Linked DNA regions of Diceros bicornis minor. The protein of the gene in region 4 interacts with the protein of the main gene of each other region in a biochemical or structural test. Links are inferred from orthologs where the notes say so. Each region holds a gene or a part of one and is shown on either strand. Other genes may lie near its edges.

Region 1 (7,398 bases), on a different chromosome or scaffold from region 4:
CACAAGCTTGCTTCCTGATGCAAACCAGCAGTATCATCTCTACAGGCCACAATGAATATACTCCCCCACAATAAATTACATTATATCTATTTTCAAAAATCGCTAAAATTCCTATTCAAACATATTTACTTTAATAAGACACATGCAAAGAAAAATGAAGGACTAAACGGTGTTCACATGAAAGATATACATGTGTTGTTCCACCACCAGCAGAAATCATCAGTGCCAGACTGCGTACGTTTCACTCCTGGCTCCAGCACTTACCTTGTGCTGCGTCTGTGTATGCCCCTAGGATAATTAACTTCTCTGTGCCTCAATTTCCGCATCTGTAAAATGGGGCTAACAGTATTACCTATCATTGGGTGTTTTGCAGGTTTAGTTAATATGTGCAAAGTGCTTAGAACAAAGCTTAGCACACAGTAGGCAATGTAAGTGGTAGCTATTATTATAGACTAATTGCTTGATGCTACCTCATCAGTTGGTGAATAAACCACAAATGGATGGACTTTCTCTGTGTCTATGCTATACAGCGTATATACACAGGTCTAATCTATATATGTGTATATTCGTGAATATGGTCAAATAATATTTATTAAACACCTACTACATCCCAAATTCTTATTTTAATTATTGACTTTGTCACAATAACACATCAGACTATTACCATTTGCATTGTACAGATGAGATACTGGGCTCAGACAGACTGGAGATACTACACACAAAATAAAATTCTATTATTTCATTTTTTGAAAGCAACATGTATACAAAGTAAGGGTGGGTCTCATCAGAATGCAACTAGAGAATAAAAGAAAGCCATTAATAGTGAACTCTGATCAAAAAACAAAACCAAAAGCTTATATTTAACAATCTACAGTTTGTGAAAAGGCCTCATGACAACTGTGGAGAGAGAAACCAAGAACCAGAGATTAAGCAGCATGCTGAAGATCACAGAGCTACAAATGCTGCAGGTCTTTCAACCTGAACCAAATCTATCTGACTCCAGGCCCAGTGCTCTTTCTGCTTCTATATCCACAGCCACATGGGCAAAATGCACTTTGTGCAGTGGCCCAAATCTCTGGAGACTCTGCCTAGCATCCTGGGAATTTCCTCAGCCTGGTTTTATGGAGGCTGCCTCCCTGACCTAAAGAGCTCCAATTCTAAAATGGCTTCAACGTAACACAAGCACTGCATGATGGGAAACGTACAGAAGATTACAGGGTAGGAGCCATACTCCAGGGGCTGACAGGCCATAAATATTTGCTGCTTATGAATGAGGATATTCAATCTGAAAACCAGGTGTGTGGTCGAGGCCAAATCACCTCATTTCTCATAAAGACTTCATCTGTAATGTGGGTGAATGGTTTCTTATCTCTTTGACAGGAGAGGCTAAGAAAAGAACTCAGCAGTTGCTACTGGATTATCAGGCTTCCATTTTGAAAACCACACGAAAATTCCTAACTTGGGTCCAGTGACAGTGACAAGTTTTACCCTCACCATGCTGTGTGCTCTTAAAGACACAGATCCAAGAAATGTGAGGGCTCAGACAACTGAGATTCAGTTCTAAATACAAAATGGGGTGCACTGGGAGCGGTCAAGAAGAAAATCACTAAGAACCAATTAATATTTATACATATAAATTTCTAACAGGAAAATGCAAAAAGCTGAGTCGCCACGTGTCCAGTTCTATAAATTGTATGTGTGTGGTTTCATATGAACAATTGACATGGAGTGAGAAATGCAGACAATTTTCCTATTCTTACAAGTGCTTCATCTTTCTGTTTTGGCTCCTGTGGCCGCCTGATTTTACATATTCATAACATCATCCTGCCAAATTCTGTCTCCCACACAGGGCAAGTAAAATCAGAGCCTGATGCTATCTAGCCTTACCAAAGAGAAAAGCAGTGAAGGCGAGGACAAGAGACACGCATTTTTACAGAAAGGCTGGCAAACTGTCTTACCAATACTGCCACCTTCGAAAACCCCGTTACGTGCGAGTTCTCCATTTGCAATAGACAAAAGTGTACTCATCTTCTGAAGAAAAAGGGCCCAAATCACTCCCACCCCTTCCCCATCACCAGGGAAGCCATTAGGCAAATTTCAGTTCTAAAAATGTACTAACACACAGCATGGGGGAATTTTGGGCGAGAACACAAAAGGCTCTGGCTTTAAATGACGGTAAATACCGTGGGAAAATACTCCGATTCTCAGTCTCTGACATTTTTTTCCTGGGGATCCGGCCTGACTCAGTAACCGGTTCCAAGAAATGCATATTCTTGATTCAAACCTCAACCCTGTGCTTCTCAGGGAATCTCGGGTCCTGCCAGGCTCCAAAATCAGCGAACGATGATGAAATGGCTTTACTGCAAAGTGGGAGGGGTTTTCCCAAGGTTAAACCCCTTACCCACCTACGGGGGGTCAAGCACAGGCGCTGGGGCTCGAGAACTCGCCCCCATTCGCTTAGATTTTAATTTTTGGAAACCGGAAAACCAGGAGGAGCGGTCACAGGGCTGAAAGGGTGGGCTCTCGCCGTTCAAGGCGCAGGGAGGGGTCGCGCGGGGATCGAAGCGGGGTCGTAAGAGCGGGTCCGGGGCCCGATGTCCCTTCCGGCCCGGTGGCGAGCCGCACCCGCCCGCCCGGCAGGGCGCAGGCGGCGAGGGCGGCCCGGGCCTCTCCAAGCGCGAAGGGCCCGGCCCCGGAAACAGGGAGGGGCCGCGGCGAGGCCGGGCCCGCGGCAGGCGGCCGCGCGGGGCGGAGGAGGCCGCGCGCCGCCACTCCGGGGCCCTGCCGCGGGGTCGCACTCGCCGCCGCCGCGGCGGCCGTGGGGGAGTTCGGGGCTTGGGCCCCCGGGGGTCCCCGCGCCGCACTCACCGTGGGAGGCCTGCAGGGGGCGAAGACGCGGACGAGAGGAGCTCCGAGCGCGGCGACCGCTTCCTTCCCAGGCCCACTCCTCAGGCGGCGGCGGCGGCGGCGGCGGCTGCAGGGGCGGCGGCGGCAGCTCCCCCGGCTCCGGAATCGGCGGCGGCGGTGGCGGCAGCTCCACTTCCGCTCCGGTCACCACTTCCGCTCCGGCCCCGGCCCCGCCCCGCCCCTGCGCCGCCTCCTCATTGGGCGAGCAGGGCACGGGGTTGCCCCGTCCGCCCGAGAGGGGCGCTGGCGGAGGGAGGAGGAAGAAGAGCGCCGCGCCGGGATGCGGCGGGGGGCGGGTCCCGGCGGGGAGGCGGCGGGCGGAGGGGGACGGAAGTGGGGGCGGGGAGCGGAAAGCGGAGGTGGGAGGAGCGGGGGCGGAGCTGGGGGTGTGGAGAAATGGAGCGTGTGGGGAACAAGGAGGGCTGGGCGAGGCTGGGCGCTGGGCGGGCCCGAGGCCGGGTGGTGCGCTCTCTGGCTCGGCTCGGAGCTCGCCAGGGCCAGGCCCGGAGCCTCCGAGGTCATCGGTTCCCACCGCACCCGAGATTACGAGAGTAATCGTCACCGGCTCGGAGGTTGAAGTCAGTCCCCTCGTGCTGTGTGCTGTGGGAATACTGGACCCAGGGAAGGACAGAAATTGCTCATCCCTAAATTTTCGCTTAATCCTCCTTTCAATCCCTCCTCCTTTTGTGGGCCGAAGAGGTTACGTGAAGTGCCGGGAATGGAACCCGCGAAGATGTTTTTTTGAAGCCTGTGTCTGTGCTCTCGTTTAGATACCTCCCTTCCCAAGGCCCCTAGGGGAAGTTTCAGAGAAGGAAACCCCTCTACCGCCCCCCACTCCCATGACTGCTCTCACCGTGATCGACATTCTGCTCCTCCCCAGGCCGTGGACTCTTAAACCCAGTGCTTCAAAACGCCTCTCACCTCCAGTCGCTCTTTTTCATTCATTCTTTCAACAAATGTTTATTGAGCAGGCGTTGTCCTTAGTGCTGGAGACAGAGCAAGAAGGAGACAGACGGGACCCTGCTGTCTTGGCGTTTACAGTCTGGTAGCAGAAAGAACAAAGTAAATAGGCCCTTGTCGTCTCTGCTTTACCCTTACTTAGCTTAATGATAGACTTCTAACTCATCACCCTACCCTCAGCCCTGCCCCCATCAACTGCCAAAGTGATCTTTTGAAAATGCCATTCTAATGGTGTCCCTTTCTTGCATAAATCGTCTGGTGACCTAGAAGACAATTGATAAGCTCCTTGAGTGTGACAATCAAGGCTCCAGAAGCTGCCCTCACTCTTCACCTTCCCTTGCTATTTCTCCTCCTTCATAAAACCCCAATTCAGTCGGATAATTCCTTATTCTCCCAATATGCCATGTCCAGTATTCTCTACTGTCTGTGTCAGTTGCCAACATTTTTTAAAGACTGAGAGATTTCTGTGTGAGCAAAAATCTGCATCTCTGCCTTATCTGGCAACACTGTGTCCATATTTCTGTGTGGCAATAATTGGCTGACGCCAGAGTGGCTGCCCACTCTAGATCAGGCCCGGACTTTTCAAAGCGCCAGGGTCTCCTCCTGACTTGAGTCTGCTTTCCTCATTCATGTTGTCTGTCATATGGGCGTTTGTGCCAGTGACCTCCATACTACACCACCTTTTAACTTGAGCAGGATTGAAAGAGAGTGTTGTGTAATATAAACGACGTAGATTTGACATGAAGACCACAGGATTTGAACCCTGGAAAAGTTTCCCAGTGCAAAAACTTCCCCATGGGGATCTATCTTTCGCAAACCAAAGATCAATAATCCAGAGACTGCTCAGGTTGACAGAAGGCTTAATGTGATATGACTGTGCCTTATGCTCCTATCCAGAAAATACCCTGGTGGGTCAGAGGGCTCGTGATAATTACACCACAAATGACCTCATCAGTGCATTGAGAGAACAGAAGTGCCCTCTGCCAGGCATCCCTGAGTGCCTGCTAATGGATTAGCTGCTTTCACCATCTCTGCGTTCTAGGCCAGGGGTTGGCAAACCACAGCTATTAACTGACAGAGACACAAAGAGATATTAAAATACAATGTGGCAGGGCCAGCCCGGTGGTGTAGTGGTTAAGTTCGTGCGCTCTGCTTTGGCGGCCCAGGTGGCCCAGGGTTCGTGGGTTTGGATCCTGGGCACAGATGTACACACCGCTCATCAAGCCGTGCTGTGACGGTGTCCCACATGCAAAATAGAGGAAGATTGGCACAGATGTTAGCTCAGCGCAATCTTCTTCAAGCAAAAAAGGAAGATTGGCAACAGATGTTAGCTCAGGGCCAATCTTCCTCACCAAAAAAAACAAAACAAAAGAATGTGGCAACCATAGGAATATATGTGCCCATAGGAATATATGTGCCTGGGAGAAGGGCACGTGGCCCATCTTGGGAGTGTGGTGAGAGAGCAGGAAAGACTTCCTGAAAGAGGGATACTTAGCCTTAGATTCCATAGTGAATTTTTTTAAATTAATAGACTTTATTTTTTTAGAGCAGCTTTAGATTTACAAAAAAATTAACCAGATAGTACAGAGAGTTCCCACATACCCAATCTCTCCCCACCCACAGTTTCACCTGTTAACATCTTACATTAGTGTAGTACATGAGTTACAACTGATGAACCAATATTGATAGCTTATTATTAACTAAAGTCCATAGTTTACATTAGGGTTCATTCTTTCTGGTGTACAGTTCTATGGATTTGGACAAATGCGTAACGTCAGGTATCTACCATTACAGTATCGTATAGAACAGTTTCAGTGTCCTAAAAACCCCTGTGCTTCAGCTGTTCAGCCCTCACCTCCTCCCCTCACCCCAACCCTCAGCAATCACTTCTCTTTTATACTCTTTAGTTTTGCCATTTCCAGATGTCATATAGTTGGAATCATACAGTCTGAAGCCTTTACTGATGGGATTCTTTCACTAAGCAATATGATTTAAGGTTCCTCCATGTCTTTTTATGGCTTGATAGCTCATTTCTTTTTATCACTGAATAATATTCCATTGTATGAATGTACCACAGTTTGTCCATTACCTACTGTTATGGATTGACTCGTGTCCTCCAAAAAGATATGCTGAAGTCCTAACCACCTGGTACCTGTGAATGTAACCGTATTTGGAAAAGAGTCTTTGCAGATGTAATCAAGTTAAGATGAGGTCATTAGGATGGGCCTTAATCTAATATGACTGATGTCCATGTGACAAGAGGAAAAAGCCAGGGGGAGACACACAGGGAGAACGCCACGTGATGGCAGAGTCGGGGATTGGAGTGATACAGCTACAAGCCAAGGAATGCCAGAGGTCCATAGCCACCACCAGAAACTAGGAAGAGGCAAGAAAAATTCTACGTGGAGTCTCAGAGGGAGCACGGCCCTGCTGACACCTCGATTCCAGACTGCTAGCCTCCAGAACTGTGAGAGAATAAATTTGGTTGTTTTAAGCCATCTCCAGTTGTGGTACTTTGTTACAGCAGCCCCAGAAATCTGATACACCTCCTGAGGAACATCTTGATTCAGCTTTTGACAATTGTGAATAAAGCTGCTATAAACATCCATGTGCAGGTTTTTGTATGGACATAAATTTTCAACTCATTTGGGTAAATACCTAGGAGCATGATTACTAGATTGTATATTGAGACTGTGTTTAGCTTTGTAAGAAATTGCCAAATAGTCTTCCAAAGTGGCTGTTCCATTTTGCGTTTCCACCAGCAATGAAAGAGAGTTCCTGATGCTCCATATTCATGCCTGCATTTGGTATTGTCAAGTTTTGTTTTTATTTTTATTATTTTTGATTTCAGCCATTCTTACACAGATGTGTAATGTAAGAACCTGATTTGTATCTCCAAAAGTTTCTTTTTGTTTCAAATATTCTGAAATTTCACGATTAATGGCCTTGAGACACCCAGTGGGTTTCCTTTGTCTCTTTCCTTCCTTACTCCCCTCCTCCAACCTCTCTTCCCTGTTCCTCCCTCCCTCTTTCCTTCCTCCTTTCCTTCCTTCCTCCTTTCCTTTCCTCCCTTCCTTCCTTCCTTGCTTCCTTCTTCTTTCTTTCTTTTCTTCCTCCCTCTCTACTTTCTTCCTCTCTTTCTTTCGCTTTTTATTATGACAATTTTTAAACAAATACAAAAGTAGAGAGAATAGTACAGTAAATTCCATGCACCCATCACCCGCTTTATTTTACTATTCTATCTATCCCTCACACTTTTTTTAACAGCACTATTTTACAGCAAATCCCAGACATTATGTCATTGCATTCATAAAGACCTTAGTATGTAGCTCTAACAGTAAGAACTTAAAAAACAAAACTGCAATTCCATGATCATACTTAAGGAAATTAACAATAATTCCTTACTATCTTATAATACACAGCCCAGGTTTGGTTTTCTCTGATTGTCTCAAAAATGACTTTTCACATTGGTTTATTTGAATCAGGATCCAAACAAGGTCCATACATTGCATTTAGTTGCTAAGTCTCTTA
Region 2 (6,539 bases), on a different chromosome or scaffold from region 4:
CACCCCAAGGCTGGGGACCTGAGTCACTGCGGAAGGCTCCCGGAAGCTCATCAGGGGCACAGCGTCCAGGGAGAGGGACAGACAAGCAGCACGGTGCAGGTGAAGAGCATCCTGAGGGACCCTGGGCAGGTGTGCGAGGTCGGAGGGAGCTGGGAGGAGGCTCAGATCACGCACAAGTTCCCACTGTTCGAGCTTCGACTGGACACCACCCACCCCTGACTGGGGGCCGTGGGAGGAGGGGCCCCAGCAGGGGATGGGGGCTGAGGGGCGACGCGGCACTCACAGCAGGAGAGGCTGCCGGGCACCCAGGACACACCAGGTGCTGCACCTGGGGGCCTGGGACCAAATGCAGCAGCTGTTCGTGTTAAGACGGCAAAGAGAGCGGAACAACAGATGGGCTGGGGCACAAGACCCTGGACATCCCCGGACGCGTCACGGGGCCCGAGTCACTCAGCTCCCAACCCCCCACCCGGACGCCGGACGCCGGGAAGGACGGGGCAGACTCGGGACTCCGGAGTCTGTGCCTTTATTGGCGCGCAGCCTACTTGAGGGGGATGAAGCGGGAGGAGTGGGTGGCCCCGATCCCGGGCCGGCCGTGCTTGACGGGCTTGTAGGTGATGGAGAACTCGCCCAGGTAGTGGCCGATCATCTCCGGCTGCGGAGGCGAAGAGCAGCCCGCGTCAGGCGTTAGGCGACCGCGGCGCACGGGCCCCACCCGCCCCCCGGGCCCGGCGCAGCCCCGCTCGCCCCGACGCACCTTGATCTCCACCTGGTTGAAGGTCTTGCCGTTGTAGACGCCCACCATGCTGCCCACCATCTCGGGCAGGATGATCATGTCGCGCAGGTGCGTCTTCACCACCTCGGGCTTCTCCATCGGCGGCGCCTCCTTCTTGGCTTTGCGCAGGCGCTTGAGCAGCGAGTGCTGCTTCCTCCGCAGTCCGCGGTTCAGCCGCCGCCGCTGCCGGGCGCTGTACAGCTGCATCAGCTGCTCGCTGCGGGGGGGCACGGCGGCCTGAGCCCTGGCCGGACACCCCCGCGCCCGGTGACGCCCCCCAACCCGCCCTCACGGCCGGGCCAGGGCCCGTGCCAGATACTCGGGACGAGCCCCGCAAAGGCAAGAACCCCCACATCGGTGTGTGCAGAAGAGGAAACCGAGGCAGGGGAAAGGTGGCCGAGCTGCTGGACCCCGGCGCACAGGCCTCAAGAACCCAGGAGCAGAGACCCCCAGAAGCCCCCAGCCCACGAGGAGCCTGTTCTGTGAGACCCCCCGCGCCCAGACCCAGGCACACCTGCCGGGGACAGGTGCTCCCTGCTTGTCGATAGCCTCCCTCCCCATCTGGGGGCCGGACCCCGCACCCGCTCTGCACCCGAGGGCAGGTTTTTAAAAAGCAAAAGTCAGACCACCCCAGCCCTGCCCAGAAGGTTCCTGCCCAAGCTCAGGCCAGGGGGTTGGCCGATTCCCGCGTACGTGCCAAACCCCAGGATTTTACAGGGTTTCCCGCGAGCGGGAGAGCGCTCTTAGGTTTCCTAGCGCCTGGAAACACGTCCAAAGACACGTGCTGAGCGTTACACTGAAACCTCAGCGTGTCCTAATAAAGTTTTATTGGCACGCCGGCCCGCCCATCGTTGACACTCGGTCTAAGCCGCGCGCACAGCTCGGGCTGCAGCCCCCACCCCCGGGGCCCTCCCGCCGGCCCCCCGCCCGGCCCGCGCCCCTTACTAGGACATGTCCAGCAGCTGGTCGAGATCCACACCGCGGTAGGTGAACTTGCGGAAGGTCCGCTTCTTCTTCTGCTCCACTTCCGCCTGCGCGGGCCCGGAGCGGTCAGCGGGAGCCGAGACCTACCTCCCAGCCCCACGGCCGCGGCGCGGTCACCGGGGCGCCCACCCAAACGCGCGCGGCGCCGCCGGGTACGGGAGCCCGCGGGGACACACCACCTCCACCCCGTCCCTGGGCGGCACGCGCGGTTCCGGGCTACGGGAGCTCGGCTGGGACATGCCGGTCCGCACAGGCCTTCCCCGCTCCGGGTCGTCCCGACATCCACCACACCCGCCCCGCGCCCCATATCTGGCGGCCCCGGAGGCCTGGAGGAGGCTGCCGCAGCCGTGCGGCCTGACCCCGGCCTCTACTGCGCGGCTGCACCGCGGATGGCGAAGGATGCATCCGGCACAAACACCCAACCCGCAGCACTCACCATCTTGTCGGTTCTTCAGAGAGGACCACCCCCAGTGCGCCTGCGCAGTTATCGCGAGGGCGCCCACGTGCCCCGCCCATCAGCCGTGTGCGTGCACGCGCTTCCGCTTTCCGGCGGAGGACGGGCGCCCTCTTCTGTCCGGAGGGCAAAGCGCAGGCTGCGAAGACTAAAGGAGCCACTGTCTCTTGGGGCCTCGGACCTCAGGGCTGGGGCCGGCCGCCTAGTCTTTGGGAGACCCTTCCTCAACTGGGGGACATAGCACCTCGCTTCCCCTTTCGGAGCCTCATATTCGTGCTCTATAATCCGCATAATGGAACCCACCTAGCAAGATTTACGAAGCACCTACTGTTGGCAGTAGGCGCGGTCAGGGGGTTCGGGTCCCCATATTGCTCTCGAGAGGGAGCTCTCGCGTCCAGTAGGGGAGGCAGACACATAAGAGACAAGGTCATACAGATATCACAGCCGAGAGGGAAGCCAGGAGGGGTGGGACACTGGCTTCACACAGATGGTCAGAACAGGCATCCCTGATAAGGACCAGCCAGCCCTTAACGGACAAAACTATATAAAAGAACAACTGTTAACAATGGCTAGGGATCAGGGGCTACAGCTATATGGGAGTGCTGTTTCTGTATTCACTGGGACTAAGTGTCCATCTGAAGGGGATTCTGGTACATTAAGAGGTATGTGCTAGCCTATGGCCCAGCAATCCCCCTTCCGGGTGTACAGCCCAAAGAACTGAGAGCAGGGACTCGAACAGATTTCTACACCCGTGTTCATTACAGCATGATGCACAACAGCCAAAAGGTGGGAACACCCAAGTGTCCATCGATGGATAAAGAAAATAGTATGTACACACTGGAATATTACTCAGCCATGAAAAGGAGGGAGATTCTGACACCTGCTCCAACGTGGATGGACCTGGAGGACATGACACTCAGTGACATGAGCCTGACGTGGAAGGACGGATACTGTGTGATCCCCTCACAGGAGGCCCCTAGAGGAGTCACAGCCACAGAGACAGAAAGTGGATGGTGGGCCAGGGGCTGGGGGAGGGGACGGGGAGTCAGTGTTTCATGGGGACAGAGTCTCAGTTTGGGAGGATGAGAAAGTTCTGGAGACGGATGGTGGGGGTGGTTGCACGACAGTGTGAGTGTGCTTAATACACTGAATTATACGTTTAAAAATGGTTAAAAATAAATCTGATGTATATTTTGCCACAATAAAAAACCAAACAGATGTATATGGTAAACTATGGAGCACTAAGAAAATCACTCAAAACATATAGTGAAAACAATTATTAAAGGAATTAAAATGCTACACTAGGAAATACTCATTTAATGAAAAAGAAAGCATTAACAGAGTCACACGAGCACAAAAAAGACATGTGCCACATAGAAAACAAAGCGAAATGGCAGAGGTAAAGCCGGGCCCGGCGGTCACAACATTAAATGCCAATGGTTTGAGGAGGCCACCAGCCCTGGAAGCGGGAGCAGGCGTGCAAAGGCCCTGAGGTCAGAATGAGCTGGGTGCTGCTGAACCAGGGAAAAGGCCAGTGCCCCCCTCTGACTCCACTGTGCCTGTTTCCCTGCGGGGCAGGCAGCAACTGAGCCTCCAGCCCCATCCCAGCCTTCAGGGCAGCTAACTGGGTGGGGTTTGGCTCAGCCCAGCAGCTTTGTGGGGAGCTGGGGCTGGCCTGGAGGGAACGGGAAGCCTGGAAGGATGCTGAGCCCTCCTTGGCCAGTTACACAATCCCGGGGGAGAGCCAATTAAACTGCACCCAAAGGAGGGGCCATCCCTCCCCGTCACCCACATGTTTGGGGCTGTTGGAGGTGTCCTTCGGGGTGTGAGGGTGTGGCGCTGGCTTGCCCACGTTCTTGGGAGCAAACGGTCAGACTGGCAGGGAGCTCGTAGCGGCTGGAAATGCCTTCAAGGTTTGCACAGCGCCCAAGGCCGGGAGAGGGCCACTCCCACTCCTCCATACGCCGCGGCGCAGCTCGGGAGGGAGCTCGAAAGGCTCGTCGACAGGGGAACGAGGGACCTCCTCCGGGTGCGAGGGGTGTGTGGCGGGGTGCCGTCTCCAAGGGGCCTTTGGGGTATGGTGGGGAGGGCGCCCCTTTTCTTGACTATCTCTGAGCTGAGCTGACCTGCCCGACATGGGGCGTGAGCTGGGCTGCGTTTCGGGGGGGGGGTGGCTGTTTTGTCCCTCCCTTGATCCCAAGCTGGGACACTGGAGGCAGCCATGTTTTGGATGAATTGGCTCTTTGTGTTATGTTTTAAAACCTCGACTGTGGTCCTTACAACAGAATGACGGCCCCCAAAGACGTCCCCGTCCTGGTCCCGGGACCTGTGGACGTGTCACCTCACGTGGCAGAGGAACTTTGCGGATGGATTAACTTGAGGCCCCTGAGATGGGGGATGACCCTGGATCCCCGGGGGCCCAGGGTCATCACAGGGTCCTCATCAGAGGGAGGAGGAGGGTCAGAGGCTGTGCGCTGGCTGCGGGCTGTGCAGACGGAGGAAGGGGCCCTGAGCCCAGGACGCGGCCTCTAGAAGCTGGAAAAGACAGGAGACGGTTCTCCCTGGAGCCTCCGGGAGGACAGCCCTGCCCACACCTGGACTTTAGCCTGGGGAGGCTTGTGTCGGACTCCTGACCTCCAGAGCCGTGAGACGACGTGTGTGTTATTTTAAGCCATCAAGTTTTGGTGATTTGTCACAGCAGCCACAGGAGACCCCTCCACACTAGAACAAGAGGGGATTCACCCCTTTTGTCACAGCTGTTTGCCAGGGCAGCCTCCTCGGGACACAGGAGCCCCTCCCCACCTCGAGGAGAGGCCAAGGAAGTCCTGCGTGTAAGTCGGCTGACTCCCCTCCCTTCTCAGGGCTGCAAACAGGGGCTCGCTGAAGGTCAAAGCCCCTTGCCTCTGGGGTTGGGGGGCAGTCAAGAAAATGGACAGAAACCACGTGGTACAACACCAAAATACTGGGGCTGGAAGGGCCCTGCAGACGGGCTTCACGGGCCAGGCCCACGCGTGACCAGCACTCATCCCAACCCACTGCCCCACCCCTAACTCATCTCCAGGAGCCACACTCGCCTGCACTCGAGCCCGGCCCTGCCTCTCAGGCTGTGAACATCAGCTGGGCCCACCCAGTGCCCCCCAGGTGTCCAGCACAGCCACCTTCAGCTCCAGGAGTGCCGGCTCTGGACTGGCTGTCCTGACGCCTGCATCACCCAGGTCAACAGCCCAGTTCCTGGAAATGTGAGTGGCCGGCCCAAGGCCACAGTCCAGGCATCACTCGCACAGGGATGGGGGAGGCCTGGCCAGTCCCCCCTGATCTGTCTAGATGCCTTTTTCTCAGTACCCAGCGGATGGCCACTGAACTCCAGAACACTGGATCTGCAGCTCACCCCACCCCCAGACCATCCTAAAACCCACACCTGCCAGAACCCCAAGACCCAGAGACCCGCCAAGACAGAGGCCCGGGCTCCCCACTCCAGCTCACCCATGAAGCAGGCCCCGAGCGGCTGCTGAGCCCACCGAGGAGCCCACGGCCAACAGAGGACCCCCGGAGAGGGCCCTGCCCAGGCAGGAGGGAAGACACGGACACCACGTGGGTTTCTAATCCAAACGCACTTCTCTTTATTCAAACCAGGGTCAAACTGGCCAGCGGGGATGCCCTGAAGCCACGCGCGCAGGAGATGGGCTGACAAGGCCTCCTCCGTGTCCTCGATGCCCGGGTGGGACGCGGGGCGGACAGCACACCTGCAGACACTGCCAGGCAAGTCAGTCGACAAAAGCAAGGAATAAACAAAAAACAAAACACACTCAGTAGATTCTTCTTGAAGCTCCCAGAGTCTCTGGACCCACGAGTCCCAACCCTCAAAGCCAGGAGTGGGGACTAAAAACAGCCCCCACTTCCACCAGTGCCGACGGAAACCCTGTTTTAAATTAAAAAATAAGCCAGTATACATCGTAGAAAATTTCTCTTAAAAATCTCACAATTTGTAAATGTATATTTTTTTCTTTAACATAAAAGTTTACAATATACGGTAAAACAAAAGGCTCAGGAAAATAATTTCAAAAAAAAGAAAAAGAAACCTGAAGTTTTGAATTAAAGCTGAAGACATTTTTTTTTAAACCCTGTTGTTGAACCAGTGACTTTTTTTTATTGTGCTGATGGGTTAGAGAAAGAAATATATTTAAAAACTTCAGTCCAGACACCCACAGCGCCTCCGAAAGCCTCTCGCCCCACCCCCCACCCCCCAGGTTGAGTCGCCATTTTTCCTCCAAGTGTGTGATTGTCACGAGTTCACGAGTTCCGAATCCTGGCTCTCAGCGGTCCCGC
Region 3 (7,725 bases), on a different chromosome or scaffold from region 4:
GGACAAACAGGGTGGGGCCAAATTATTGAAGGCCTTGATTGACAGGTTGAGGAGTTTGAACTTATTATTATTTTTTTTTCCCCCCAAAGCCCCAGTAGATAGTTGTAGGTCATAGCTGCACATCCTTCTAGTTGCTGTATGTGGGACGTGGCCTCAGCATAGCCAGAGAAGTGGTGCCTCGGTGGGCGCCCGGGGTCCGAACCCAGCCCTCCAGTAGCGGAGCGTGCACACTTAACCGCTAAGCCAAGGGGCCGGCCCCAAAAACGTGAAAGTTTTAAAAATGAACACTCTATAGCACAATACACACCTTGGTGTCACTCCAAACTGAATGTCAAATTAATTTGACAAGTCAAATAACTTATAATAAGGTCGGTTAACTCTTAAATATTAGTATTTTAAATGTTACTGTAAAGTTTATAGTAGGAAAGCTAATAACACACCTAAGAGATTACGTATCCATTTACCCTAGCTTTACAGAGAAAGGCAATATTCAAACTTTTTTTCTCCTGAAAGAATTACTTACATAGTCTAAATTTAACAAAAATAAATCGAATTAATAAATAGTTAAGACAACTTTTTAATATTCTTTTTCCTCAAAATGAATGTTAATACCAAAATGGATGGTTTTAGGAAGTTGTTTTCTTTAACCATTATTTGGCAAAAAAGGGGGCTGCTAGAGGTTTGGAAATATGATTATCCTTAGGTTTCCTGACCTTGGAGTAAAGTATAGCAATAATCCTAATAACTATAGGTAATACATACTTTGTAGCTGAAAATTTGACTTTCCGTTATTACCAGCAATCACAATTTAAGAAACATTTAGAATTTAGACAAATTAGGAAATCAGGTAACGTCAAATTATGGTCTTTCACTTATTGAATCTGGAGAAAGTCTAATAGTATAAAATATTTAGGGACTTATATTTGTAAGTATGATTTTCAAACACTATTTTTAATTTATAAAAATATGACCAGTAACTCAACTGATCTGAACATAGCAAAAACATGACAAAGAACTAGTTATCACTAGAAAGCCTCTAAAAACACAATCATATTTCAAATAATTCCAAACTGGAGTTATCTGCCAAAATCTCATATCAAGAAAGAAATGTAATATTCAAATTAATCTTTTCATTTTTAATTTTATTCGTCTGCCCACAAAATAACCCAAACCTTACTAATCTAGTATTTTTCTTGTAGTGTAGTAGTCCTTTTCTTTAAAATAGACTATCAAAATAACTTTTTAAATAATATGAAATCAATCACATATCTCACATGTAATTTTAGAAGTTGCTTACAATTCCCTTAATGAAAATATAAGGCCGTCACCATAAGATACTCCAACAATATTAGATAAATAAATATTCTTATAGTCCATTTCTATAACTGACCTATAAGAAATTCTGTTCATTACAGTAAAGATATCAATTAAGCCACTTGACGGGTTTATGTGATGTGATATAAACTGCAACCATATTTCTTTGGAAAGATTTACTTTTAGAAGCAGCAGAAGAACCCAAGAAAGCAAAAACCTGTAACCAAAATCCGCATCTCCCCCAACCCCTGGGAAAAACCTGCCTCAGAGGAAAAAAAGAAAATGAAAGTTTAAAAGAAAATAAGGTTTGATTAAAAGAAAATAAAGGCATAATCTCCTAGATAAAATACAGTGAGGAGGTTGTCAGGGTCTTCTCTAAAAAATGGTTGAATCTGAATTATTTTGAATCAAAACAGGGACCATGATCAGTTGGGCTATAACATGACTTACAGAGCACAGCTACAGCCCCAGACTCGAACAGGAGACATTCTTCCTTATGCCTAGTTTCCACTATGAGACTGAAAGGTTGGGGGTCCAATTTGTGATAGATCCGAAATCCTTTGCTGAACGCCATTCTCCTTTCTTCAGAGGCAGCCCTGTGAAAACCAAGCAAAGCAGAGCAAATGAAGCTGATGTTTCCTTCTGCAGCAAGAACTGCAAAGCATCCAGAAGTCCCTCCCTGCCAGGTTTTGATGGGGGGGGGCGGGGTGGAAAAAACGGAGCTCCGGGAGAGAACGGTTTATTCCAAAATATAAGTCGTCACTGAATTTGATCAAAAAGCAAGAGGAAAAGCGACCGATTCTCCCGGCAGATCAAGGCTCTATCACTCTAAGTCCATGAACGGTTCGGTAAAGATGAGTTTCCCGTTTACTTTATGTTTACCAAAGAGAACAATTTTGAGCGTATTTCATTCGGAGTTATTTATCAGCTTCCTGCTTCGGGATCTGTCACTACGCTGAAAGGGAACCGATTCGGAAACTTCAAGCCGTTCCTTTGCGGGGAAAGGAGGGGTCGGCGGGTGGGAAGGTTAACGAGCCTGGTTCAAAGCTCCTTAGGGGGCGGGAGGAGGAAAGGGCTTAGCCACACGCCAGGTCTCCCGGGTGGCGAAGGGCCGGGGATCGGCACCGGTTACCGCCGCCCCCCGCCCAGCCTCGGGCCACCGCCGGCGGGGAGGACCGCAGGCGGGAGCCCGTATATATGAATGGTCACCCGGGAAGAGTCACGACTCGGGACATGGACCCGACCGGGGCTCCTCGGGGGTCCCGGGAAAGCAGCTCCTTCCCGGGGGGAAGGAAGCGCCGAGCAGCTCAGTCCCTCCATTATGCACCAGAAGAGAGGACCTGGCGCCCAAACCGACTGGGTTCCTTTCCCGCAGGAACGCTGACAGCCGCTGTCACCACAGCCCCCCGCCCGCTGCGGCGCCTCGCATGGCCGGTGGTCCCCTCGCAGCCCCGCCCGCCCTCGGTCGCCCCTCACCGCTCCCGCCTGGGCTGCGGCGGCGGAGACCGCCTCAGGAAGCGCCCGCCCGCGCGCCCGGCTGCCGGTGGGTCTGGCCGCGGCCGCTCCCCGCCCCCCGCCGGCTGGCTCACCTCTTCCGCCGGCTCCTCCTCCTCCTTCTCCCGCAGCCGCCACCGCCACAGCCGCCGGAAGCGTCACTTCCGGCCCAGCAGGCCCATCTCTTCCGCATTGCGCCGCGGCCGGGGGCGGAAGGGCCGCCGTCCGTGGGGGGAAGGGGCGGGGCTTCGGGAGGGAGGCCCCGCCCACTCTGGCCGCCTGGGACCCTGCGGCGGGGGGCTGTTTGGCGCCTCCGCGCGCGGTGACCTTCGCCTCGGGCGGCGCGTCCCCCAGGCCGCGGCTGCAGGTCCCACCGCTGGGGATGCCGGGAAAGGGAGGTTCTGCCTCCCTGGCCCCTTCGCGTGGGCTCTTCAGAGCTTACCAACACTCCCCGTGGGCGCCAGGGAGGGACTCTGGGGGCTGGGTATTGATACGTGCCCAAGATGGGTGTCTGGACCACCCCCTGCTGCCCCCACCGGCCTGATGGGCGAGGGGGAGGGCTCGGGACAGTCGGCACGCGGGGCCGACCCGGCGGCGCGTGGAGAGCTGTCCATGGTGTCTGACCGCGAACACGCCGAGAGGCAGCAGGAAGGAAAACCAGTGTCTGCTTTGGAAAAACTCTGTCCGCTGCCGTTTCTTCTGGAGTGTTCTGGAGCTTTCAGGAGTCCTGTAGAAAAGAGTGCTCAGCTCTGTGTACGGTGGAGAGTGGAAGAGCACAAACCAGAGTCTCAAGACTAAGTCAAAACATGGCGGTACTGACACCGGGGCAGCTAGGGTGTCACTGACTGGGGAATAGCTTATGCCAGCCGTGGGATTTCATAACTCAAGGCGCCTCGCCCTTTCATCTTATCCGCATTTTCAACGAATCATGCTTCCTGGCTAATATCAGTGTGTCCCACGGACTTCTCATTCTGTTTCCACTTAATAAACCTAACTATGGGAATGAAGTCAAAACTAACAAGGTCAAAAGGAATTGAAAAACGAAGAACCCAGTACTCGGAGAAACTGTTTTCACTTGCCTTTGCAATTTTTTTTCTTACCTCTTCCCCTTCTTGCTTTTATTTTAACAGCAAAAGCAGAATTTAAATTTGGTATACTGCACAAAATCATTTCCCCCTCCAGGCCCTGTCATGTGACTTAATTTAACATTTCTTCTTCCGTTTTAGAGAAGCTGGACCCACCCTGGTTTCAGGATACTAAAGTAGCTATCATTCATTAGAAAAGAAGCCACTTGTTTTGTAGAAGGAGATGTGCAAAGACACTTGGATTTAGTTCTGAGAGCTGGAGAGGATTTCTTTCTCGTTTAGTATTATCTCCCTAGAAAAACTGTTTTGCTTTTTGTGGTGGTTACTGACAGCAGCCTCAGAATTAAACTTATATTAAGATAATCAAATGGATGCTTATTTTTCTTTCCAGAAGAATCCATTTCAATTGGAGATTGTATTTGACAGAGAAAACTAAATGGGAGTGGATGAGAATGGAATTTTTCTTATTGGCTTCTTCGGATATAATGCCTCTATAGCCCTGAATGAATGCCAGACAGAGGTATACACTAGGAAGACATGGATAGTATGGTTCCAGGAGAGATGTTGATGTTATTAAGAACATTGCTTGGGAGTTGCGTTTTATGACAACTGAGACCCAGAAAAGTTAACTGGTTAAAAATTACTCAGTTTCGGGCCGGCCCTGTGGCGTAGCAGTTAAGTGCACCTCCTCCGCTGCTGGCGACCAGGGTTCGGATTCCGGGCACGCACCGATGCACCGCTTGTCAGGCCTTGTGTGCTGGCATCCCATATAAAGTGGAGGAAGATGGGCACGGATGTTAGCCCAGGGCTAGTCTTCCTCAGCAAAAAGAGGAGGATTGGCATGGATCTTAGCTCAGGGCTGATCTTACTCACACACACAAAAAATTAGTTTCAAGTCGAGTTGGGACTTTGAAACCAAACTTGCCCACCCCAAACCTAAGATCCCTTCCACCACATCTGTTTCTGTGTGAGACTACGCTAGGAACCCCTCCTTTCTCAGAGGGAAGTATGGGTGCTGGGCTCTTTTAGAAGCAAGTGTTCTGCCTATTCATGATTTCTTTTGATTTTGGACTGAGGAGATTGAGGTCAAAGTTTCTTGGTTCTGGGTTTGAATTGCTGCTTCTTTCTTTACGTTAAACTAGGGGGTAAACAGAACTCTTATTCCTAGAGTTGTCAGGAGAAGGCCACAGCTTTTTCAAATCCTTTCAAAATAGATCATTTTAGTCATAAAATAACCACATAAAATAAACATAAGGGCCATTTGACTACTGTCTTTTTAAAACTGTTATTCCTTCCTTTTCTTGTCCCTCTTTCCTTTTTATACTTCTTTGTTTCTTAGAGCAGTTGAAAATAGCTGCACAACTTTTTACCAAATTTGAAGTGTCTTTGGGTTGGCTGATTTAAAATACAGGTTAAGTGGTATACACAGACTTCTTAATGAGGTCCTAACGGCCTACAGAGATGGGCTGAGACTTTCTTGACCCTTGAAAATGAGCAATGAGGTCTGTAGAAGGCTGAAAAATACCACCCCCAAGATATCCACATCCTAATCCCTGGAACATGTGAATGTTAATTTACAGGGAAGACAAGTCTTTCCAGATGTGATTGAGTTAAAGATTTTGAGATTATTTTGGATTATCTGGGTAGGCCCTAAATGCAACCACAAGTGTCCTTATAAGGAGGCAGCAGAGGAAGATTAGACACACACACACACGCACACACACACAATGAGAAGACAGAGGTACAGACTGGAGCAATGTGGCCAATAGCCAAGGAGTGTCAGCAGCTACCGGAAGCTGGAAGAGGGCAGGAAGGATTCTTCCCTAGAGCTTTGGGAGAGAGCACGACCCTGCCAACACCTTGATTTTGAATTTCTGGCCTCCAGAACTGTGAGAGAATGAATTTCTGTTATTTTAAACTACCCAGTTTGTGGTAATTTGTTACAGCAGCCACAGACAACTAATACAAGGTGTATATGACTTTCCATCAGGAGAGAAACTGAGATCAGCAACAGCCCTAGGCAGATGTTTAGAAATCAGCTTCAACAGCTTCAACGAATTGAACGCAAACACCCTCATTTTTATTTATTTATTTATTTATTTATTTATTTATTTTTTAATTTTTATTTATTTATTTATTTTTCCCCCAAAGCCCCAGTAGATAGTTGTATGTCATAGCTGCACATCCTTCTAGTTGCTGTATGTGGGATGCGGCCTCAGCATGGCCAGAGAAGCGGTGCGTCGGTGAGCGCCCGGGATCCGAACCAGGACCACCAGCAGCGGAGCGCGTGCACTTAACCGCCAAGCCACAGGGCTGGCCCGACACCCTGATTTTTAGATGTTGATTTTTGACCAAATTATTTCTCCTGTGAGCAATTCTATCAGGTTGAAACATACAATTGCCATTTCTATAGGTCAAAAATACTCAGTGACTATGGATGGTCCAATCTAATAGTGTGTCTCCAGCAAACTACAGCTAGGATTTATTAATTTAGAAATGATTAATGGTTATCCGAAACAATCACATAAAAAAAACTATACCATATGTTACAAGACTATGAATTCTGACAGATGTTTACCATCTTTATCTTTTCCTTATAGCCTGGATTTCCTTGTCAAAAATGCTGGAAAATGTTTGGCAAATCTGGGGAATATTAACAGTTTGACCCAGTTATCTTTACCAGCTTATTTTTTGGGTCACACAGGCTAAAGCTGACTTTCATAACAGGATCTGCAAGGGATGGCTCCTTGTTAAAGAGACAACAGTGGTTTTGAGAGACAACACAACTCTGGGTTACAAATAGCATTAACTATTTGCTTTAAATACGTTCGTAGTAATCAGTGAAGGATAAGATTTTAAACCGGAAAAATGGAAAATCGGTGAGTAGAAAATGTAGTAAGCTTAAGAGCAGAATCACTTTGAGAATCAAATCAAACAAAAAAATTCAGACTGAAAAATCACTCAGACATGCAATAGGTAAGGAAATTGCCACTAGTCCCAAAAGAGAACTTGTATGTGACAAAAGTAGAGTTTTCATTTGGAACAAGAGAGCAACTCAAGAGAGTTCAAGTGAAGGGGGTTTAATGATACACAAGGATTCCATGGAAATCAAAGGACCAGAGCCATAACAGGGCCCAGCCTCACTGAGATCAGAGCTGCAGGATGTTCACTCTTCAATCTGGCTCTTGGTCCCTAAGCAGCAAGCATCTCTGGAATTTCAGCATCTAAGGTTAAATGTAAAAGATAAGCTTTCATGGTCAAAGTGTTCTTGTAAAGTAGCTTAAAATGGTTTCTACAGGATTTGTCAAACCGTTTATCGTTTACCATGTGTTTTGAATCATCAAGCATGGGCTATAAGGTACATTTTCCTAAAGATCTTTTTAAGTGGACCACAGTATGTATTCTGAAAAATGCTGTGCTAGGCATTCTTGTTGTACAGGATGATTCTAGCCTCTCAGCCTCTGCTGGAGTTAGGGCTGACAGGCTGGAGGAAAGCCAGTACAAATCACTGGGGCCTGGAGGTCCAGAAGCAGACCAGGGGCCAGTCAACATTGCACATCAATACCAATCCCATATAACAATTTTTAGCCTGTCTGCCTTTGCTGGGCAGTCTGAAGCCATTCTCAGCAGCTGTAAATCTAATAATCCATAGACAATTATTCCATAGAATAATTTCTGTGCTGGAGGGCAGTCTCCAAAACATTTTGGACAATGACAGCCTTATCGAAGTATAAAGCCTCCCAAACATTCAGATGTGCTTTACTGTTCTCACTACATGTAGAAGTTCTAGTGTTTAATTGTTCTCATTTTCATTTACTTTGAAACAACAGAC
Region 4 (7,439 bases):
CCCACACACAATTTTTATACTTTTACTAAATATATATATATCCCTAAAGTATATGCAACATTGCATGCTTGATAGCATTAGAATATTGATATCACAGTAGGATATATATCCTACTACAACTTTTTAAAAGCCAAGTATTATATTTTTTGCTATTCAGTCATGTTGATACATGGAGCTCTAGTTCATTAATTTTCACAGATTTATACAAGTCTATTATATGGATATATGCAATTTAAGTGTTGATGAATATTCAAGTGGTTTTCATTTTCAATATAAGCAAAAAATGTTGCACCGAGCATTTTTATATAAATTTCCCTATGCACATGTGAGAGTTTCTCCAAGGAATGTTTTTGGAGTGTAAGTGCTGGGTCATCAGATACATATATCTTCAGCTCTACTAGATATTGCCATACTGCTCTACAAAGTGACTATTCTGATTTACACTCCCACCAGTTTTGTATAAGTATTCTAGTTGCTCCACATCAAAGCCAATCATTGGTATCATCAAACTTTAAATTTTTGGTTAATCTGAGGGCTGTGAAATGGTATAGCATTATGGCTTTAATTTGTATTTCCCTGGTTACTAGCGGAGTTGAGCATCTTTTGATAGATTTAATGGCATTTCCTCTTCTGTAAATTGCCTTTTATATCTTTTGTTTATATATAAAATTAGACTATTTAGAGGCCAGCCCTGTGGCCAAGTGGTTACAATTCCACGTGCTTCGCTTTGGTGGCCTGGGGTCATGGGTTCGGATCCCGGGCGTGGACGTACTCCACTCATTAGCCATACTGTGGTGGTGACCCACATACCAAATAGAGGAAGACTGGCACAGATGTTAGCTCAGGGCTAATCTTCCTCAAGCGAAAAAAGAGGAAGACTGGCAACGGATGTTAACTCAGGGCCAATCTTCTTCAGAAAAAAAAAAATTAGACTATATTTTCCTCTATAATTTGTGATAGTTCTTTTTACATATTCTTATTCTTCTTTTGTGGGTTATATACGTTGCAAAAATATTCCAGCCTGCGGTCATCTTTTAACTTTGTTGATGGAGTCTCTTGTATGTTGAGTTTTAAATTTTAACTTATCTGAATTTAACAATCTTTTCCTTCATGGACTGTGATATTTATGTTTTGTCTTTCCCTACATGAAGGTCATAAAAAGGTCATTTTTCCCCCCAAAATTTTAGTTTCATTTTATATAAAAATATTCAATTCACATGGAATTTATTTTTTTATATGGTGTGAGGTAAAGGTATGATTTGATGTTTTTCCTACAATCATTGGTCTCAGATTCATTTATTACATAGTCCATTCTCTTCCCACTGATACACAATGCAACATTTCTCATATATATTTTCCATATATGTAAGGGTATGTTTCTGGGTTCTCTGTACTCTTTCACTGGTCATTTTGTATAGCTGTGCCAATAATATGCAGATAAATTTTTATAGCTTCATAGTAAGATTCAACACACTGCTTCATATGTTGGACAAGTTATGCCTGGCATAAGGACATCAGGCTGAAGGGATGGGTGGAGTCTGAAATCCAAATCCTGCTTTGGACACCATAGCACAGGGCTGTGTCTGCCTGGAAGGAGGGGCACATTTTTCTAATTCACAGAAAGACATTGTCAGACAATTTTTCCTCCTCTGGGAAATCGACAAAGGCTAGTACAGGCCCTGAATTAAGATCTAATTGGGCAATTTTCCCACTTCCTCCTTCTTCAAAAGTGTCTCGGTTGTTCTAGGTCCTTCGCTCTTGTTGAAAGCTATAAAAAAATCTTGCTGAGATTTTCATTAGACATGCATTGTTTTTTTATTACTTTGTGGAGAACTGGCATCTTTTTGATATTTAATCTTCTTGTTAATTGATATCATCTATCCATTTATTTATGCCTTGTTAATGCCTTTTAATACAGTTTAATAATTTCTTCACAAAGGTTTTAAAAATATTTTGTTAGATCTGGTCCCAAGTTTTCTCTTTCTTCCTCATTGTTGTTACTGTGTGCAGACACACACACATACAATTACATTTTATAACTGCATGTTACTGATGTTTAGGAACACAATTTTGTATAATTATGAACATACTTTTTTTATACTTGTACATTCACAGTGAATTTCCTGTTCAAAACTTTAGTCCTTTTTTCTCCTGGGGTATCTATGGAGTGTGTAGGTGTTGTTTCCCCCACACCCCACTGTGATCTGTAAGAACTTTTGAAAGATTAAGGCTAATTGTTTTTTTGTCATATATATTGCAATTTTCTTTTACTTTCTTTTACTTTTACTTTGCCATTTACTTTTTACTTTCATGTTTTTTCTTTGCAGGAAATTTAAATTTTTATGGAGTCACATGTACCAATCTTCTGTTGTTTTTTTCTTACTTTTTATGTTTCTTCATACCAACATTAAATAACTATCAATCTATATTTTCTTTTTAAGTTATTTTCATTTAACTTTTTAATCCATCTGGAATTTGTTTTGGTGTTTGCTGTAATTAGCAATGTCCATTTTATTTTTTTCTTCCCAGGAAGTTAGCCTAATGTTCCAGCACTATTTTATTCTCCACTGAACACTACCTCTATCATGAATTTGTGCCCGTAGCCTTCCTTTTCTGTCTTGTTAACTATCTGAAGAGTTAATAAGTCTTGGGATTTTAATCAATCAATTAAACATTTTTGAAAGCTAAGAGGATACTTTGCCCTACTACTGCAGTAGTTTGAGAGAATGCTCCCAACAGAGAATTCATGTTTCCACACCGCCTACCCCCAGTCTGGCTAATATAGAGTAGACAGTGAATAGGCAGTGGATGGGTGAAAGAACTGAGGAAAAGAGGAGATACCTTTTTACTTAGATTTAGTTTTCTTTGGACGGGAGCTAGGTTTTGATTTTTTGCAAGATAATAATCCAGTAGACAGAGAAGGAGAAACTGATGCAGAGGAATGGGAAGGAAGGCATGAAAGGGAACATTCCTAGGAATGTTTGAGATATCGATTGGTTAGTCAGAAGTTGAAACAAGTTCAGAAACCAGTTAGGAAGGATATTCCGCAGCTATGATAAAGATGACAGGGTTGAGAATTTTTTCTTTTGTTTTGTTTTCATTATGGAAAATTTTATGCAGAGGAACTAGTACCATAGACCACATGAACCCATCACCCATCTTCAACAATTATCAATTCAAAAGTTAGCATTGTTTTGTCTCTACCTCCACCCATTTCACCCCTTTCCCCAACACTGAATTACTTTGAAGCAAATCCTACCCATTCTATCATTTCAACTGTAAATATTTTAGCATGTGTCTGTAAAAGATAAAAAGTCTTTATGACAACAAAATATATTCACAATATCTAGGTCGAATTAGAATTGCTATCTTACTGACTTAATGTATTAAGGAAGCCTAGCTCATTTTGATTAAAGTGGTAGAGTGTAAAGAACCTTCAACTGGAGTTAAGAGATTCACCGGGGTTTGAGTTCTGGCTCTCAACCTTCCATCTGTGTGACTCCAACAATGCTCTTCGCTTAACTCCAAATCTCAATTTCCTCATTAGTAAAAGAAGGATATTGGTAGTTGTCTTATCCATTTCAGAATTGTCATCAGAATGAAATAATAGAAGTGAAAACAAACGATCTAAAATTGTGAACTACTAATTTCCTGTCCAGTCATCTCCTTTGTAAATGATCCCCAGGACAGATCATCTTAGGCAATAGATCGTCTTTGTCCAGCCTTGTCTACAGTGTTGCTTGCTTTGGTTTCTCTTCCTAAAAAACATTACTTTGGTACTTATTTTTTAACTTGAGGGTTATAGACGCTGCGACTCATAAGTAATTCTGAATACCAAGAGAACAATGCTTAGGCTTGTATCTTTCACCTTTTCATTTCATTTACGTTGTGTTTCTCTTAGTTTTAATAGCGCCAAGAACGAACTGATTGTTTTTTGGTGCGCCCCCATTATCAGGATCCTACCGAGTGCAAACTCAGATTTTCAAGTTAATTTGGTCAACAGAGCTTCAGATAACAGGGAACAATTTTTTATTTCCTCCTCTACAAAGAGCCACAGCAATCATGGAAAAACATTTAGCTGAGCACATTTTGATTGCTAATATCTCTCTCCATCCTTGAGGGGGAAATTACTCATCTCCCTATAGGGGGAACTCGAAAGAGAATGTTTTCCTAAAAGGGGCCAAGTGGGCGGCGTCCTCTCTTCCCAACGCCCTGATTTCCATTCTTAGACCTGGAGATAGGCGGCGGCTTTAATTTTTCTTCTTCCTAGGTCCCAGACCTTCCGCGCGGCTGAAGGTGCCCAGGCCGGCGGGTGGCGGCGGGCGGCGGGCCGGGCTGCAGACTGCGCGCCTCCTCCCGCCGCTGCAGGGCTCGGGGCCTGGGGCCGCGGCGGAGCCCGCGGAGTCAGTTTCTTCCTGCGCGACTCCCGGCCGCGCCGCCGCGGCGAGTGGGATCCGGTCCCGGGAGGCGGCGCCCGCCTGGGGTCCCGTCTCGGCCCGCGCAGGGACCCGCTCTCGCCGCGTGCGGACCGCCCACCGCGGTTCTGCACGGCGCCGTACCTCGGCCGAGCCTCTCGCAGGCCACTGAGCTCGTTTTGGGGGCCTGAGCGGGGGAGGAGGAAGCCGAGGAGGAGGGCCCGGGGACGGGGAGGGCAGCGCAGGGCGCGGAGCCGCCGCCTTCCTCATAAACAGGCGGGCGTGGGTGCCGAGGGGGCTGGCGGGCAGCGCTGGCCGCGGGCGGTGAGCTGTGCTCGGCCCGGAGCAGCGGCCGGCGCCCCTGCCCCTTCCCGGAGCGGCCGGCCTTGGTGCGGGAGGGGCGGCAGGTTTGGAGCAGGGTCCATCATGGCCAGTGGCAGCTGTCAGGGGTGCGTGGAGGAGGACGAGGAAGCTCTGAAGAAGTTGATAGTCAGGCTGAACAATGTCCAAGAGGGAAAACAGATAGAGACGCTGGTCCAAATTCTGGAGGATATGCTGGTGTTGACGTACGCCGACCACGGTAATCATTTCCAAGGAAACTGTTCCTTTATCCCCCTCCCCCCCGCCTCTGTTGCAAACTTTCTCCCCCGCACTCTGGAGCTGCACAAAGCCTGGACTTTTGAGAAGCCACCAACTCTATACTTCTTAGGGTAGAAGGGAGCTGAGAATTCTAGAAAGGTCTTGCGCTCACTTCTTTTGCTTTCTCCCCCCCCCCCTTTTCCGACTTAAAAGGAGGGCCGTGAGTCGTGACTTTGCTTCTTTTCCCTCACCCACTTTCTTTTCCAGCCTCCAAGATATTTCAAGGCAAAAATGTCCACGTGCCTCTGTTGATCGTCTTGGACTCGTATATGAGAGTCGCTAGCGTGCAGCAGGTAAAGGAGCTGTTTTCATTTCGCCCATTCCCCGATCACTTTGGAAATAGATGTTTTTCTGTCAGTGTTATATGCCCAGAGTTCTGGATTGTTTCTGAGATTTGGCTTGACAAACCGCTGACTGATTTTAAGACGGAAGCGTTGTCAAATCATTATCAAATGTTAACGGTGTGAAAGGGCCCACTATGTGCTCCCTAATTGTCTTAAAGAAGTAACTTTATACAATTAACTGACAAAATATGGATGGTGGTGAGAGGAATAATAATGGGTTGAGTTTTCCGTTATTGGCTATGAGTTCATCAGTGTTTAGATCAAATTATCTAAGACTCTTCCCAATATACAGCATGCCCTAGAGATGACAGCATTGTGAATAGTTTGGGAAAGGAGAACAGTTAACAATAATAAAATTAATAAAAATAAAATTAAGTAACTGGCAAACTCGCATAGGTTTCAGGGTTTTCTTTTTTTTTTTTTTTAATTTGAAGACAGATTTCTAGCCTTCTTTAGTTGTAGTATACCTTGTATTATCTAAAGAAAGTGATGTTTTATGATTCTTCTATAAGTTTAAATTTATACTTTTCAACTGTTTTCATATAAAATGAATGTAAAAGTGAAACATTTAGAATCTGCCTCATAGGAAACCCAGAAATTTGCTAAATTCTTAGATATGTTAAAAAGGGAGCCCTAAGATGATAATTAAGGATGATTTACAGTCAAAACAAGATTAGTGCCTATCGTGTTCACTTCCTTTGTAGATTTTGAGATTTAAAGAACTGAAATCAGTTCTGTCATTTGCATGTTAAGTCCTGAAGGGAAAGAGAGTTGAACTTTAAACTCTGTCAAAGTGCAGTCAGAAAGTCAATGTTTCTTAATATATGCTTGAGTGTCTAGACAGATGTAAAAATTATCTGGATCTCTAAATCTGTATCTATCTATCTTTGTCTTTATGCTTATCTCTGTAGCCAGCAATGTCTAGTTTGGGTGAACCATATACCTAGCTTCTTTTCTGGGAGTATATTTATATCTGGGATAAATGGTTACTTTTATTTTTCTTCAACTGAAATATTTCCCATTTGACTATTGATTTTTAGGGTGTTAACATGCAAAACCATGAGAAGATGAAGGCTTGATAAAGACAGTGTTCTTTTTAGCACCCAATGTCTGAATTTTGCCCGTGGAATATGAGTCACTTTTTCACACTGGCCCGTTGTGCTTGCTTCTCTCCACCCAAATCATCCCTTCTTACTTGCCTGTGCTTTTGTGTTCAAAAGTGCCTGCTCTGGCAGCCCCCATTCCCTGGACTCTGTGCTTGGTAGAATCACCCCTGCTTGATACCACTCAAAACATTTGGACCCTGGGTGGCTTTGATCTGCAGAGTCCAGAGGAGGCAGAGCTAGACTTGAGAATGCAGAGGAGCCTGGAACATAACCACTACCTAATTCTTCTTCGTTTTAGAAACTGCCCAGGCCTGGGCATGTTTGTCTGGAGTGGTTATGAATGTCACTCAGTATCTTTTCCCAGTGACTACCAGAGACAAAGTATGCAAGAAAATGAGGAATTGTCTTCTGATTTGGTAATTGAATGGAATAGAATAGTTTCAGCACCATATGTGTATTAGTCTGCAAAGAGTATTATGTAGCTTACATCATTTGATTCTCACTGGACTCTCACTGCCCTCTCAGATATCTCACTGGCTATTTTTTCCTTAGTAGGTAGCTCATTTAGGATCACAGAGCTAGGGACAGAGCCAGGACTCAAGTCTTCTCACGTCTTCCAAATCTCTTTCCATCATACAATTCCCTAGCTGCTGAATTCACAAGCTTTTCATTGCAAGTAAAAAGTGCAATGATTTGGTACAAATATTGTGGCCATGGTAGGCATAATGGCACTATCAATTTTAATTATCGGTGGTCTTATTAAAGGGATGAAGAAAGAGGTCTTTCTACTGATATTATAATACTCCATTTAAAAGAAAGTGGGTTTTTATCCTTCAAATTTCTTCATATTACTGATGTAATTAGTATAGATATTCTTTAATGCTTTATGTGTTGAATTAGCTGGAAGTGCTCAATTAAAAGCTTTTAATGATGAA

What was found.
Region 1: the proteins of LRRK2 (region 4) and YWHAB interact on a protein array, tested with the Homo sapiens proteins (2 studies listed by BioGRID and IntAct, with this or other methods). The link is inferred for Diceros bicornis minor from reciprocal best matches to the Homo sapiens genes LRRK2 and YWHAB.
Region 2: of the proteins of LRRK2 (region 4) and RPS15, one has a biochemical effect on the other in vitro, tested with the Homo sapiens proteins (2 studies listed by IntAct). The link is inferred for Diceros bicornis minor from reciprocal best matches to the Homo sapiens genes LRRK2 and RPS15.
Region 3: of the proteins of LRRK2 (region 4) and SYNJ1, one has a biochemical effect on the other in vitro, tested with the Homo sapiens proteins (2 studies listed by BioGRID). The link is inferred for Diceros bicornis minor from reciprocal best matches to the Homo sapiens genes LRRK2 and SYNJ1.

The regions. Positions count from the first base shown.
Region 1 is NC_080758.1:16,288,551-16,295,948, forward strand, and holds the start of YWHAB (14-3-3 protein beta/alpha), read right to left. Parts: upstream 3,007-7,398; 5' UTR 2,869-3,006; intron 1-2,868. UniProt on the Homo sapiens protein: Adapter protein implicated in the regulation of a large spectrum of both general and specialized signaling pathways. Binds to a large number of partners, usually by recognition of a phosphoserine or phosphothreonine motif.
Region 2 is NW_026691553.1:897,064-903,602, reverse strand, and holds RPS15 (small ribosomal subunit protein uS19), read right to left. Parts: upstream 2,253-6,539; 5' UTR 2,199-2,252; coding exon 2,196-2,198; intron 1,807-2,195; coding exon 1,721-1,806; intron 993-1,720; coding exon 758-992; intron 656-757; coding exon 542-655; 3' UTR 511-541; downstream 1-510.
Region 3 is NC_080766.1:33,285,393-33,293,117, forward strand, and holds the start of SYNJ1 (synaptojanin-1), read right to left. Parts: upstream 3,002-7,725; coding exon 2,904-3,001; intron 2,833-2,903; exon of another isoform or gene 2,791-2,832; intron 1,911-2,790; coding exon 1,765-1,910; intron 1-1,764. UniProt on the Homo sapiens protein: Phosphatase that acts on various phosphoinositides, including phosphatidylinositol 4-phosphate, phosphatidylinositol (4,5)-bisphosphate and phosphatidylinositol (3,4,5)-trisphosphate. Has a role in clathrin-mediated endocytosis.
Region 4 is NC_080756.1:28,440,843-28,448,281, reverse strand, and holds the start of LRRK2 (leucine-rich repeat serine/threonine-protein kinase 2), read left to right. Parts: upstream 1-4,424; 5' UTR 4,425-4,841; coding exon 4,842-4,995; intron 4,996-5,261; coding exon 5,262-5,347; intron 5,348-7,439. UniProt on the Homo sapiens protein: Serine/threonine-protein kinase which phosphorylates a broad range of proteins involved in multiple processes such as neuronal plasticity, innate immunity, autophagy, and vesicle trafficking.